Linked DNA regions of Caenorhabditis elegans. The protein of the gene in region 2 purifies or fractionates together with the protein of the main gene of each other region. This does not show direct contact. Each region holds a gene or a part of one and is shown on either strand. Other genes may lie near its edges. The genes, in order: cku-70, hpo-29 and smg-6.

What was found.
Region 1: the proteins of hpo-29 (region 2) and cku-70 fractionate together in Caenorhabditis elegans (co-fractionation; one large-scale study listed by BioGRID). This does not show direct contact.
Region 3: the proteins of hpo-29 (region 2) and smg-6 fractionate together in Caenorhabditis elegans (co-fractionation; one large-scale study listed by BioGRID). This does not show direct contact.

The regions. Positions count from the first base shown.
Region 1 is NC_003281.10:11,153,126-11,157,940, reverse strand, and holds the start of cku-70 (Ku domain-containing protein), read right to left. Parts: upstream 3,115-4,815; coding exon 2,893-3,114; intron 2,840-2,892; coding exon 2,737-2,839; intron 1,333-2,736; coding exon of another isoform or gene 742-1,332; intron 1-741. Other genes in the region: Y47D3A.31 (BAR domain-containing protein), read left to right, coding at 742-1,332; pola-1 (DNA polymerase), read right to left, coding at 3,997-4,145.
Region 2 is NC_003281.10:233,992-238,877, forward strand, and holds the start of hpo-29 (N-alpha-acetyltransferase 16, NatA auxiliary subunit), read left to right. Parts: upstream 1-1,852; 5' UTR 1,853-1,858; coding exon 1,859-1,933; intron 1,934-1,986; coding exon 1,987-2,071; intron 2,072-3,758; coding exon 3,759-4,021; intron 4,022-4,886. Other genes in the region: hpo-38 (DUF19 domain-containing protein), read left to right, coding at 722-783, 928-1,042.
Region 3 is NC_003281.10:2,472,199-2,476,909, reverse strand, and holds the start of smg-6 (PIN domain-containing protein), read right to left. Parts: upstream 3,043-4,711; 5' UTR 3,030-3,042; coding exon 2,670-3,029; intron 1,569-2,669; coding exon 1,413-1,568; intron 801-1,412; coding exon 1-800.

The DNA.
Region 1 (4,815 bases), about 11 Mb from region 2:
CGGCAACTTGCCGGAATTAAAAACTTCCGGCAAACCGGCAAATGGGCGGAATTAAAAATTCCGATAAATCGGCAAATTTCCGGAATTGAAAACTGCCGGCAAACCGGCAAATTGCCGGAATTGAACATTTCCGGCAAATTGCCGGAGTAGAAAATTTCCGGCAAATCGGCAAATTGCCGGAACTGAAAGTTTCGGCAAACCGGCAAATTGCCGAAATGGAATCTACAGCCAAATCGGAAAATTGTCGGAATTGAAAACTTCCGGCAAATCGGCAAATTGGCGGAATTGAAAATTTTTGGCAAACCAGCGAATTGCCGGAATAGAAAATTTCCGGCAAATCGGAAAATTTACGGAAAACCAGCAAATTGCCAGAATTAAAAACTTCCGGCAAACCGGCAAATGGGCGGAATTGAACATTTCCGGCAAATTGCCGGAGTAGAAAATTTCCGGCAAATCGGCAAATTGGCGGAAATGAAAATTTCCGGCATATCGACAAAACCGGCAAATTGCCGGAATTGCAAATTTCCGATAAACCGGCAAATCGCCGGAATTGAAACTTTTCTAACTTTTTCAAACTTGAACAAAACTCAAATATCAAATTTTTTTCCGTGAAAATCCCAAAATTCCACGTTGGAAATTTCAAAATTCCAACAGCAAAAAAAAAAAACGCCGCGGACAAAATTCAAAATTCAATTTATTCCTAAATTTCGACTCGGTGGTGTGTGCGTGAGTTGTTCAACAATGTTCAGTCGACTAAAGCAAAAAGTGAAAGAAAAGACGGGCAGAAGCAAGGCGACAGTGCTTCCCGCCGAAATCGACGAGGCGTTGATCTACTTCAAATCTCTGAAGCCCCGCGTCCAGGATCTCTACAAGCACATGGCAAATCTGAACGACGTGGCAAATTGGCAAGTGAAAGCCAACTTTTCAGGCCCACTGGAGAACTATGCTCTGCTCGGAGATCGTATCAACGTGCAACCGTTCATCAATTGTGTCGACACGCGGATGGAGGCAGAAGTCGAGTCGATGGATAAGGTGCTGGCGATTTGTGAGCGGTACAAGGCGTTCACACAGAACGAGAGTAAGCTTCACACAAATACAATTGCCAATTTGAATAAGACACGTCTCGATATGGATAGTGCTGCGAACAAGTACGCCAGCAACGACACTGACGTCAATCGGACTCGGTTTGATGATGCCACTCGTGAGTTTGAGGTGGCTTGTGATCGGATGCGTGAGTTGGCGATAAGTATTCAGACAATTGAGGAGACTCATTCCATGTGGCAAGATGAATTGATGCGGGAGATAAAGGCCGGAATGAGGAAACCGAATTGAGGTGGTGGTGGTGGTGGTGATGGATGAGAAATTGAAAATTGAAGAGATCTCACAAAAAAACCTTTTTTTTTTTTGAAAATAAATTAGGTTATTATGAAATATTGTTTTGCCAATTTTCTAGGCGGCGTGGCCTACACGATTTCAGGCCGCTCTTTATGAAAAGCTAAGTTCTGGCGTCGAAAATTGCCAATTTCTTGAAAAAAAAATACCGGAAATTGTTTTGTCGAAAGCAGTGGTGGACGGCAATTGCCGTTTGGCAAATTCGGCAAATTGTCGGAAATGCCGGTTTGCCGGAAACTTTAATTTCCGACAATGTGCCGGTTTGCCGAATTGTTGCCGGAAATTTTTTATTCCGGCAAGTTGCAGATTTACCGGAAACTAAATTCCGACAATTTGCCGATTTACCGAATTACCGTATATTTTCATTTATGGGAACTTGCCGGTTTGCCGTTTTGACGAGAACTTTCATTTCTGGCAATTTGCCGGTTTGCCGAATTGACGGAAATTTTCATTTCTGGCAACTTGCCGGTTTGCAGTTTTGCCGTAAATTTTCAATTCTGGCAATTTGCCGGTTTGCCGTGACGGAAATTTTCGTTTCCGGCAACTTGCCGGTTTGCCGAATTGCCGCAAATTTTAATTTCTAGCAACTTGCCGATTTGCCGGAAAATTTCATTTTCAGCAATTTGCCGGAAATTTTGATTTCTAGCAAGTTGCCGGTTTGCCGAATTGACGGATATTTTCATTTCTGGCAACTTGCCGGATTGCCGAGTTGACGGAAACTTTAATTTCCGACAATTTTCCGGTTTGCCGGAAATTTTCAATTCCGGCATTTTGCCGATTTGCCGGAAACTTTAATTTCCAACAATTTGCCGGTTTGCCGAATTGCCGGAAAATTTAATTTCCAGCAAGTTGCCGAATTGCCAAAAATGAAAGTTTCCGGCAACTTGCCGGTTTGCCGGAAACTTTCAATTCCGGCAATTTGGCAATTTGCCGTAAATTTTCAATCAATTCTGGCAATTTGCCAGAAACTTTTAATTCTGGCAATTTGCCAGAAATTGTCATGTCCGGCAATTTGGCAATTTGCCAGAAATTTTCAATTCCGACAATTTGTCTATTTGCCGGAAAAAAATCGTTCGAATTTTCAAAAAAGTGGTGATCTACCGAAATTCTGCCAAAAGTCAAAAGAACAATCAATTTTTTGCCAAAAAATTGCCAGATTGCGTATAATATTCTGAAATTGTAGATTTTACTCGAAATTTAACTGGAAATTGCCAATTTGTCGAGATTTTGAAAAATTAGAAGTTTGCCTAATTCACTGCGAAAATTGTGCCAAGTCGCCAAAAGACGACGAATGCCGAGAAAAAAAACCACGAAAATGTCAGAAATTGTCCGCGATTTCCGCACCTTCCTCCGCAATTTCCTTAATCTTATTCACTTCTTCCTGTCCAAGAACACCCATCGGCACAAGCAGAGTGCTATTTTCGAGTCCCTCGGTCTCCGAGTTTTTCTGTAATTAAAAAATTATTAAATTTTCAGAAATTCTTCAGAAAAAACTCGTACAGTACTAGTGACAATCACTCCGATATGATTGTTAAGGCTCCGCGAGCAGCAAACACGGACTATTTCGTCGAGAATGAGCTTCAGAGCAAGCTTGAACTCTGGCGGCTCACCGGCTTTCGACGTTTCGAACATTGCCGGATTTCCGTCAATTATGAAGAATGTGTACTTTTTATTGGCCGTTGAACCCTCGAAATCGTCATCCTCGAAGCGGGTTTCGTCCATCTGGAAAAAAATTGATTTTTTTCAAACTTTTCTCGAAAAAAAATTCAAATTTTGACTGAAAAAATCGAAAAATTAATTTTTTTTGAATTTAAAAATATTTATTAAAATATTTTTGTTCTCAAAAACTTTGAAATTTGACATTTTTCAAGTTTTGAAAATTTCGAAAGTTTTTTTTTTCAAATTTTTCGAGAAAAAAATATCATATTTTGTCGATTTACGGAGCTCGTGACTGAAAAATTAAAAAAAAAAAACTTCTCCTCGAGGAGTACACCAGCTGCGTAAATAGACACACGGTTTTTATGCATGTGTCGATTTACGACGGATTTTGAACTACACGTGGACAAGTTTGAGTTCAATTTTTTTGCAAAATCTCGACTTTTTTTTTGGCTAAAATTTCAGTTTCCGAAACATTATCCCTCGTAAATCGACAACCCCTGTGTCGATTTACGCAGCAGCCTTCGTGTACTCCTCGAGGAGAAGTGTTATTTTTTGCTCAAAAATTTTAATTTTACAATAAAATAAATTACTTTGCATAGAAAATTTGAAAATAGCGAAAATGTTCAAATTCTCCCCGTAAGTCGACACAAATACTATAATAAATTGAAATAATTTTTTCAGAGATGGAAAAACTCCAAAAATTCAGTGAAAAAAGGGAGAATTAACACAGGATTCGATTGTTTATCAGATATGATTTGAGTATTTTCGGGAATATTTTTTTGGGGAAAAATAAAGAATTTTTCACTGAAAATTAGGAGAAAATGGAAAAATGGAGGAGGAGGAAATGACTTGTGAAAAAAATTAGGAAATTAGAAATTTCGACATAAAAAAGACGGGAAAATCGCAAAACTGGGGGGAAATTTTCAAAAAAAAAAGAAAATAAATTCATTGAATTTTCATCATTGGCGCAAAAATATATGAAAGATCCACTCGATTATAGGCATTTTTCTCCAAATATTTCTCATTGATTCGATCAGCCAACATCATTGAATCGATTTTGCACCCATTATATTCGACACGGACTTTGGCGGCTTCTGGAAAAAAAAAACTTTTTTGAAGAAAAAATTGTACAAAATTTCCTGGAAATCGAACTTTTAATGCTAATTTTTAGTGAAAAATTGTAATTTTCAACGAAAAAAAAAACTCAGAAATCGGAGAAAAAATTTACTGAAAAAAAATTACGGATTTAAAATTATTTGAGCCAAGCTTTTCAAAGAATACGGTACCGGGTCTCGATACGACAAATTGTTGTTGAATGCGAAAAAGTGTGCGCCTTTAAAGAGTACTGTAGTTTCAAACGGATTTTTTTAATCGATTTTGCGCATAGAATTTCACACGATTTGTTAAAACTTAAGCGGTTTATTTCAGTTTTTTTGTTTAACGAAAAACTGAAAAAAATGGATGAAAATTTCTCAAATTTCATCCAATTTTTTTCAGTTTTTCGTTAAAAAATATGCTTTTTATTAGAAAAACTGAAATAAACCGCTTAAATTTTAACAAATCGTGTGAAAATCTATGCGCAAAATCGATAAAAAATTCCGTTTGAAACTACAGTACTCTTTAAAGGCGCACACCTTTTCGCATTCAACAACAATTTGTCGTGTCGAGACCCGGGCGCAAAAATCGTGAAATTTCGGGATTGAGTAATAAAATTATAAAAGCCGAATAATTTTATCTCCGTAATTTTTTTTTTGAAAAAAAAAA
Region 2 (4,886 bases):
CCTACAATGCTATTTGGTTCATTGTAGCCAGTTGGCTAATTTTTTGCCTGATTCAAGGTTTAGTTTTAAAAAGTGCAGTTTTGCCGACCGGGACGGTTAATTTACGGACCATCTACGGACCGGCTACGGCCAAACTACGGATGATCACCAAAACGGAGGATAATACGAAAAAATTGTTCATGAAAATGGAGTTTTTGAAGTGCCTACACTCTCCTTTGGCTAATTTGAGCACTTTTTCCGTGCTAGAACCTGAAATTTTCAAAAACAAAAATTTGGTGCCCGGGACGGTTCATTTACGGTCCGTCTACGGGCCGTCGACGGACCGTCTACGGACCGGAAACGGCCCAACTACGGCTCAAGAGCCATCTCGGTCGGTAAATGTGGTTTTTGCTCTGAATAATGCATTTAACGACGTAAAAATGCTTGAATTAGCCAACTGGTATCATAGGTATTTTAAAAAATTCGTTTTCTTAAAATCCATTTTTTCCTCTTAATGGCCATTTTTTACATTCCCCGTAGTTTGCCCGTAATTGGTCCGTCCCGCTTTTCATATCCGTAGTTCGCACGTTAATGGTCCGTTCCCGGTCCAAGATCCGTAAACGGACCGTACCCGCTTTGCCTGTGTGACGAGCTTAAGACAAAATATTACGACTTTTTGTCAAATTTCGGGTCTCGAAGCGAAAATATCGAAAACTTTGGATTTTTTTTTGGGTTTTTCCAGATCTGTCAGAGCTGCATGCCGGGAAGTGCCCCAATCTGCTTCCAACGCAACCCCCGCTTCACGTAAGTCCTAAAAAAGCGGGAAATTCGAATTTTTGGCTAAAAAATCAGAGTTCTGGCCTATTTTTCTCGATATTCAGTCAATTTTCCACGGTTTTTTAGATTTCCCCTCGTTTTTAGACTTTTTCTCAACTCATTAAGCTTCAGAGGCCTCGCCCAAGTCTGCCTTTGCACCTACAATCTGGAAAATCCCATCGACAACGCCGCCTTCTCACTTCGCCACGAAAAACGTGTGTTCAGCCGCAAAATCCGCCGTACCTGATGACCCCCGAATTGATATTTTATGTGCTTTTTCATTGAATAAACTGCAATTTGTTGGATTTTCAAGGCTTTTTCAGCTGAAAATTCAATTTTCGGCTCATTGTGCATTTTTGCGTCATGGTGTTTGTTTGAAAATATGGGTTTGTCCAGGTTTTTCCCAATTTTTATAACATTTTAGCATTATTTTCGATGATTTTTCAGATTTTTCAGCTAATTTCAGATTTTTTCAGATATTTTCTGTATTTTCAGACGGTTTTCCAAGAAATTTCACTTGAAGCCCAGCGAGAGAGCGTGCAAAACGAGGAGAGTGCGCGCGCCAGAGGACGAAAACTGTGCATTTGTGCGTGGCGGTGTTTGCGGACTCACTGCTCATTTCCCAGAATTTCTCATCAATTTTACACTATTTTCGATGGATTTTCGACGTTTTTTCCCAAAAAATACACGTTTTTCGTGTTAAAACGTGGAAAAACGTGTTCCGCGCCTTTAATTTGCCACGGGGCACACGGAATTTCGGAGATTTGGCAGTTTTTTGGCGGAAAACACCGATTTGTTCGGCGGGACAATTTTGTTTTCTTAGATTTTCAGCGTTTTTTACTGATTTTTTTGCTTTTTCAGTGGTTTTCTGCTATTAAAACTGTCAAAATCGAGTTTTTCATGCCTTAAAACCCCCGGAAACCCTACATTTTAGGCCAAAATTCATTTTTTCGCGGAATTTAATCGTTTTTAGGCTCAAAAAATCGATTTTCTTCTCGTTTTCGTGCTCTTTTCACGTTTCCTCACCGACTTTCACCTCAAAAATCCAAATTTTCAGGTAAAAATGCCGACACCACCAGGACAATCGAGCAGCCAGCCGTTGCCAGCCAAAGAGCTCGGTTATTTCAAGAAAATCGTGGTATTTAACTCGAATTTTGCTGAAAAAACCGAAAAATCACTCAATTTTTGCAGAAAAGCTACGAGCAGAAGCAGTACAAAGCGGGTTTGAAGTTTGCGCAGAAGATTTTGACGAGTCCCGGCTTTGCCGAGCATGGAGGTACTGCTGGACCGGAAAATCTGAAAAAATGATGCGAAAAACTGGATTTTCACGGGTTTTTGAGTGGAAATTCGGTTTTTCAGCTAAAAATTCGAGTAAAATCGCCATTTTATGCAAATTTTATCCGGAAAAACTCATTTTCCAGCCAAATTACAGGAGAAACCCCCGAAAATTAAGAATTTCGCCAGATTTTTGTGAAATCGGGTGCAAAATATCCCAAAAATTTGATTTTGAGCCGATTTTTCAATAATTTTGACTCAAAATTTGAATTTCTATGAATTTTGGACCGTTTTTCCAGATTTTTCGCAAAAATAACGAATTTTGACGCGAAATTTGTCCAAAAACCTGGTTTTTAACCGATTTTCGCCGAATTTGGACCATTTTTCCCATAAAAATCTCAATTTTCTCAAAGAAACGCTGGCAATGAAGGGATTAATTCTAAATTGCATGGGAAATTCGATGTTTCTGTTAAAAATCGAATTTCTTAGCGAAAACGGCTGAATTTCGGTGGAAAACATTCGAAAAATGGTGATTTCGGCACAAAATTTACTTGAAAAATGAATTTTGAACCGATTTTTCTACATTTTTGACTCAAAAATTGGATTTTTGGCCCGAAATGTACTTAAAAAAATGAATTTTGAGCCTATTTTGGCCGATTTTGGACCGTTTTTTCCTAATTTTGAGCTATTTTTGGCCCAAAATGTACTTACAAAATCGATTTTAACCGATTTTCGCGGAATTCGGACCATTTTCCCCAGATTTTTCACAAAAAAATCTCAAAAAAATTGGATTTTTCCGCACAAAATTAATTAAAAAATGAATTTTGGCCCATTTTTCCTCATTTTTGACTCAAAAAATTGGTTTTTCGCACGAAATTAACTTTAAAAATTGGGTTTTAATCGATTTTCGCCGGGTTTTGACCCATTTTTCTTCATTTTAGACCCGAAAAATCGGTTTTTGTCATAAAATTCACCTAAAAAAATGAATTTAAATCGATTTTCGCCAAATTTGGACCATTTTTCCAGATTTTTCGAAAAAAAAATCTCGAAAAATTGGATTTTTTCGGCACAAAATTAATTCAAAAAATGATTTTTTGCCCATTTTTCCTCATTTTTTGACTTAAAAATTGGTTTTTGGCACAAAATTCACTATAAAAATTGATTTTTAACCGATTTTCGCCAAATTTTGACCAATTTTCGTGATTTTTACCCCCCAATTTCGCCCATTTTTCTTGCAGAAACGCTCGCAATGAAGGGTTTAATCCTAAATTGCATGGGAAATTCGATTTTTCTGTTAAAAATATCAAAATATACTGTGGGAAAATCGAATTTCTCAGCGAAAATGACCGGATTTCAGTGGAAAACATTCGAAAAAAATGAATTTTAAACCGGTTTTTGCCAATTTTGGATCGGTTTTTCTTCTTTTTGGCCCCAAAAAATTGGCTTTTGGCACAAAATTCCCGTAAAAAATGAATTTAAATCGATTTTCGCCAAATTTAGACCATTTTTCCAGATTTTTCACAAAAAGTCTCAGGAAATTGTTTTTTTGCCCAAAATTTACTTACAAAATCGATTTTAACCGTTTTTTGCCAATTTTGGACCGATTTTTCTTCATTTTTTATCCAAAAAATTGGATTTTCACCGATTTTCGTCAATTTTTACTCCAATTTCACTCATTTTTCTTGCAGAAACGCTCGCAATGAAGGGTTTAATCCTAAATTGTATGGGAAAACTTCAAGAAGCTCAAGATTGTGTTCGTCGTGGACTTGTATCGGATCTCCGTTCATATGTCTGCTGGCACGTATTTGGACTAATTCAAAAGACTGAAAAGAAGTACGATGAGGCAATTAAGGCCTACAAACGGGCCTTGATGCTGGAAAAGGACAATTTGCAGATTTTGAGAGATTTGAGTCTTTTGCAGATTCATATTCGTGATTATGACGGATATTTGGTAGGTTTTTTTGATCGAAAAAATGACGAAAAACGGTTGATTTTGAGCTAAAATCTGGAAAATTCGCTGATTTTTGCTTTTTTTTAAGTGAAAATTCCATAAAAATTGTGGAATTTTGGCCAAAAACCAGGATGTTAGCACGTTTTCCGTGAAAATTCCATTCGAATTGATCAATTTCGGCTGAAAAACGAGAAAATTGACAGATTGATTGCACTTGTCTCTGTAAATTCCACACAAAACCCGTGTTTTGGGCGTTTTTGTAGTCAAAATTGACGAATTTTGACCCAAAAATCAGGAAATCGGCATATTTTGCCGAATTTTGACTGAAAAATTGGGAAATTTCACACAAAACTCAAGTTTTGGACAGTTTTAACCGGAAATTTCAAAAATTGATGATTTTTGTCTACAAAAACTGTTAAATTTACCTAATTTTGGTGCTGTTGAGTGAAAATTTCATCCAAAACCCAATTTTGAACACTTTTGGAGAAAATGCCTTGGAAATAGTCGAATTTTGACTGAAAAGCTGACAAATTAAAGGTTTTGGCACATTTTGAGTGAAAATCGACGAATTTTGAGCCAAAAACAGGAAAATTGACCGATTTCGGTGTTAGAGAAAATGCCTTGAAAAATGTCGAATTTTGACTGAAAAGCTGACAAATTTACTAATTTTGCGGTTTTTTGTGGGAAAATTCCATTGAAAACGGCTAAATTTGACCCAAAATTCGAGTTTTGGGCTTTTTTTTTGGTGAAAATTTATGAATTTTGGCCAAAACTTTGGGAATTTAAATGATTTCGGGGCTTTTTCTGTGAAAATTCCATTGGAAATACGATTTTTGGCCAAAAAATGGAAAATTTAACCCAAACT
Region 3 (4,711 bases), 2.2 Mb from region 2:
GTCCCATTCTGCGAGCGCTGCACAATCTGAATTCTCCCAGCAAGACGTCCCGACGACATATGGTTCTCCAGCGTTCCATGATACTCCGAAGCATCATCATCCCGATCGTCATGCTCACCGCGGTACCGTCTCGGCTCTTTCGGCTTCTTCTCCACGGCGGCGTCTCTTCGTTTCGGATGGTTCTCGTCGTTGGCTCCACGTGTTCTCTGGTACAGAACACGTGGATTATAAGAGTTGCCGCTTCGCACAGAAGTCGGAGTTCTCTCACCACTTTTGAGCTCTTCCTCGGCTTCTTCTTCCTCTTTTTCCTCGGCGATACTTCCACCGAACGAGCTTTCTCTGTCGGATTCATCGGGATGGTACCGACTGTTGCCTCCACCTCTTCGATTATTCCTTCGGTTATTTCTCCTCGGAGACGCCGCTTTCTGAGCTTCCTGAGCAGCAGCTTCTTGAAGCTTCTGCTCCATCCGTCGCTCTTCCTCTTCCTCCTGCTCTTTCTGCATTGCAAACTCATTTTCCACCTCTTTACTCCAATCCATCGACGCGAAATTCTGCAGGTTCTGGCACATTTCCTCGAAACTGAACGCCTCGCCAAGGGAATTCATCGAGAAATTCGATGAGGCTCCACACTGAGATGCCGAGTCGAATGAGGTGTCAATGTGAAGTTGAGCACCGGTTTGAGGTGGCATTTCTGATTGGGTAGAGTTGATGGAATCGTTGCGTTGGCGACGGGATCCTTGAGGACGTCGGGCGATGGCGCCGTCCCCGCGCATGGAAGCTCGCTCGTTGAAGCCGCGGGTCTGGAAATTGAAAAGATTTAGCTTTAAAAGTTTGGTTGTTTGAACAAAAAAAGCTTTAGCTCAAAAAATATTTGATACGCAATTTTGTAAATGCGCGTCGTGTTTGCGTACTTGACTATCGTACTCAATGGTGATTTCCGCAAAAATTTATGTTTTTTTTCGAGAACGGACAATTTTCTAAGGTTGTTCAGAGTTTTACAATTCGAAACGGTATCATGCCTTCTTAAGGCGGTATTAAACGTAATTCTAAGTTCAGATTGTCAAATTTCTCAAATTCTGACAGTTTTCACCAGTAAAAACCTCGAATTTGTATGGAAAACTGTCCAGATTGATAAAATCTCTAGCTTTCTGTACTAGACGTGAATTTTCTTGAAGTGGGCTAATTTCTAAAGCTTTTCTCAGCTGTTTGGTACAATTTCTACTAAGTTTTACAGTTTTAGACTAGAATTTGAGCGATTTATCTCTTTTTCCCCAAAATTTCTTTTTTCCTAAAGTTTCCATATTCCCATCATACCTTACTGATCACTTCACATCCCACACATCCCATTAATTCTAATTAATTCACCCCTTCTCCCCCCCAGACACTTCCATTAAGAAAACCTGATAACCTACATAATGATTTCCGCCGGGTCGTTCGAACGGTTGCCGATGCTGCTGATGCTGCTGGTTACTGTATCTCCCATTATTCCGGTGATTCGATCGGTGGTTGCCCTGGTACTCCATATAGCCACCATGTTGCCGTGTGTCGTAGAGGGATTGTGTGGAATTCTGGAATTGGAATGGTTTTCGTGGGATTTGGGACATTTGTAGGGGTGTGCAACTTTTCAGTCAATTTCAGACTTTTGTCTAGTTCTGGGGATTTGAGTTCAATCTTGAGCAATTCTTAGCTTTTTTCCTGGAGTCTTCGAGACAAAATATAAGTTTTCAGCCAGTTTGAAGTTGGGTTCAGTCGGGTTTCATGAGAATTTGAGACCTTTTCCAGCTAAATTCCAGAGCCAAAATACGTGATCTCACGTGGTGTCAGAGTCTCCAATTTTGGCTTGATCTACGTAGTTCTACAAAAATTGCGGGAAAAGAGACGCAGAGTTCTCATTTGATTTCGCATTGTTAAGAACGTGCTGGCGTCACATTTTTTGGCCAAAAAATTCCCGCATTTTTGTAGATCAAACCGTTATGGGGCAACTTGATACCACGTGATTTCTCAAATTTTGAGGATTTTGAGTTACCTTCAGCCGTTCCACAGTGGCTTTAGAGTTAAATATTTGGATTTTTGGCGTTTTTGGGGATTTTCAGCCAACTAAGGTATTTTCTCGTGCTAATAATGAGTTTTTAAACAATTTTTGAGGGTTTTCAGTCAATTTCAGCTACTTCATAGTGAAGACTTTGGGTTTCGAGAGATTTACTGAAAATTTTTGGCTTTTCCCGTAAAAATATCAGTTTTGCCATAGATTTTAAGATTTTCCGTTAATTCAAGTCGTTTTCTAGTGCTTTTAAGGTATTTTGAGACATTTTCAGCTGAATTTGGGGCTTTTATCATGCTAAAATATTAGTTTTTCAAAATTTGCTGAGGGTGGTGTCAGGATGTCCCATCACGGTTTGATCTACGAAAAATACGGGAATTTTTATTACCAAAAATGTGGCGCCAGCACGTTCTTAACCATGCAAAATTAGTTGAGAACTCTGCGTCTCAACTCCCGCATTTTTTGTAGATCCACGAAGATCACGTCAAAATGAGGCACTCTGACACCGTTTCCCCGTGCTAGATAATGAATTTTTCCAAAATTTTTTGAGGGTTTTAGGTAATTTCAGTTTTTTTCTGTAGTGTTAGGGTAGAACTTTTGGTTTTTGAGCGATAAGATAAAAACTTACATAATTCGATGGCCCATCTGTTCTCTGTTGTTGTCGATAGCCTTTCTCAAATCGATTCCTTCCTCCACCTCGCTCATTCATGGCATTAATCACATTTGCATCGGGCGTCGTACTTCCAGATCCACCACGTGACGTCACACTGTCCGTATCGTTGCTTCTTCGTCTGGAATTGCCCGACATCGTCGTCGTTGTTGTGTTCAACTTCTCCGGGCGTGGTGGTCGTGCTTCTTCGTTCGTAGAGCTCAAGCTTTTCGTGCTCCCTCCCTGGCGGAGCATTCCTGGACGGTAGATTTGAATTTCTGGGCGCGGTTTTCGTGGAGCTCCCGTCCTAGATGACGAGGCGTCTGTGTCTCCGTTCATTTTGCTTGGTGAGCTGGAAATTTGGAATTTTGAGATATATCATAAAAGAGAAGCATGTAACATACAAAAAAAGGAAAATACAGATTCAGGCATGCCTACCTGCCTGCCTACCTACGCTATAAAACTGCAAAAGTTCAGGAGAAAAAGCTATAATTGAAGAGAAAGCACGCGGTGTCAAAGTGTCTCATTTCGGCTTGATCTACGTAGATCTACAAAAAATGCGGGAGAAGAGGCGCAGAGTTCTCAACTGATTTTGTATGGTTTCACATTTTTCTGGGCAAAAAAAACCGCATTTTTTTGTAGATCAAACCGTAATGGGACAGCCTGGCACCACGTGAGAACGGAGTTGGAGCAAAAAAATTTAATTAAGAAAAGGTGTTGACAGCGGGCTTTACGAGGGGATGAGCAGAGGATAAACAGATTTTTTCGCAAAAATTCGTCATTCCTCTAGATTTTAGACGGGATTTTGCATTTTCTAAAGCTGTGGGTGTTGGAAAACCGAAAACCGCCGTTGAAAATAGCTAAAAATCCGTGGGAATCTCCAAAAAAGCGTTGAAAACTTCAATTTTGTACCTAGAAATCCAGGAAAAAGCTGAAAATTGGTGTGATGTCAGAATGCCCCATATCGGTTTGATCTACGTAGATCTACAAAAAATGCGCGAATTTAGCCGCAGACTTCTCAACTGATTTCGCATGGTTAACACTGTGCTGACATCACATTTTTTGGGGAAAAAAATTCCCGCATTTTTGTAGATCACACCGTTACAACCTACCACACCACGTGGGAAAACTCATAGGTTCGACGAGAAACTTTTTGGTTAAAACTTTAAAAAATGTCATATTTTTAGGCTGAAACTAATATGAATAGTTAAAACCAAGCTATTAAGTTCTGAAAACCATACTTTATATAAATTAAGGGCCTTTTGGGTCTGGAAATTCGGATTTTTTGAGATTTTCCCTCCCAAGAATACTAGTAAACCCTAAATTTCTCCGATATCACAAGATCGCTACTTTTATTTCGATTTTCGCAAAGTAACAAAAAAAAAGTTTTATGTAACTTTTATGTCCCCCCACCACCAAACGTTTTCCTGTTCCGAAATGCAAACACATACAACACAGTGAAACAATTCTTATCACTGGTGGAGCGGGTACCTTCTGTTAAGCTAAACAGAACATACACGTCGGCGGGGTGGGGGGAGGGAAGGGGTAATTGTTTGATTAGCCACCCATCAAATAGAGACATGGGAAAGTACATGGGGGGTAACAATGGAATTTTCGGTATCGATTTCTAATTGGGGAAGACTCTAGTAGAGGCTCATTGGAAATTGGGAATTAAATAGCGTTTATAACCGAAATTTGAAATAAAAAATTCAAGAATATGGTAGTTTTCAAAGTAACGTTTCTAATTGGGATTTTAAACAAAAGTACAAAAGTACTACTAAAACGAAATTTGACAATTCTTTTTGCTCAAAAATTAAATTTCGTCATTTTTTAAAATTATATATATATATGTGTGTTGTAATTAATTACAATGCTCAAAAATGCAGCAATTTTTCAAATTTGAGCAATAAATGTTGTCAATTTACGTTCTTTTTCGATTAATATAGTAATTAAAGTAAGCTTTTTCAGCCTACTACAGCCTATTTGGACTAAAAAAAAACGGACCTCACAGAAATGATATA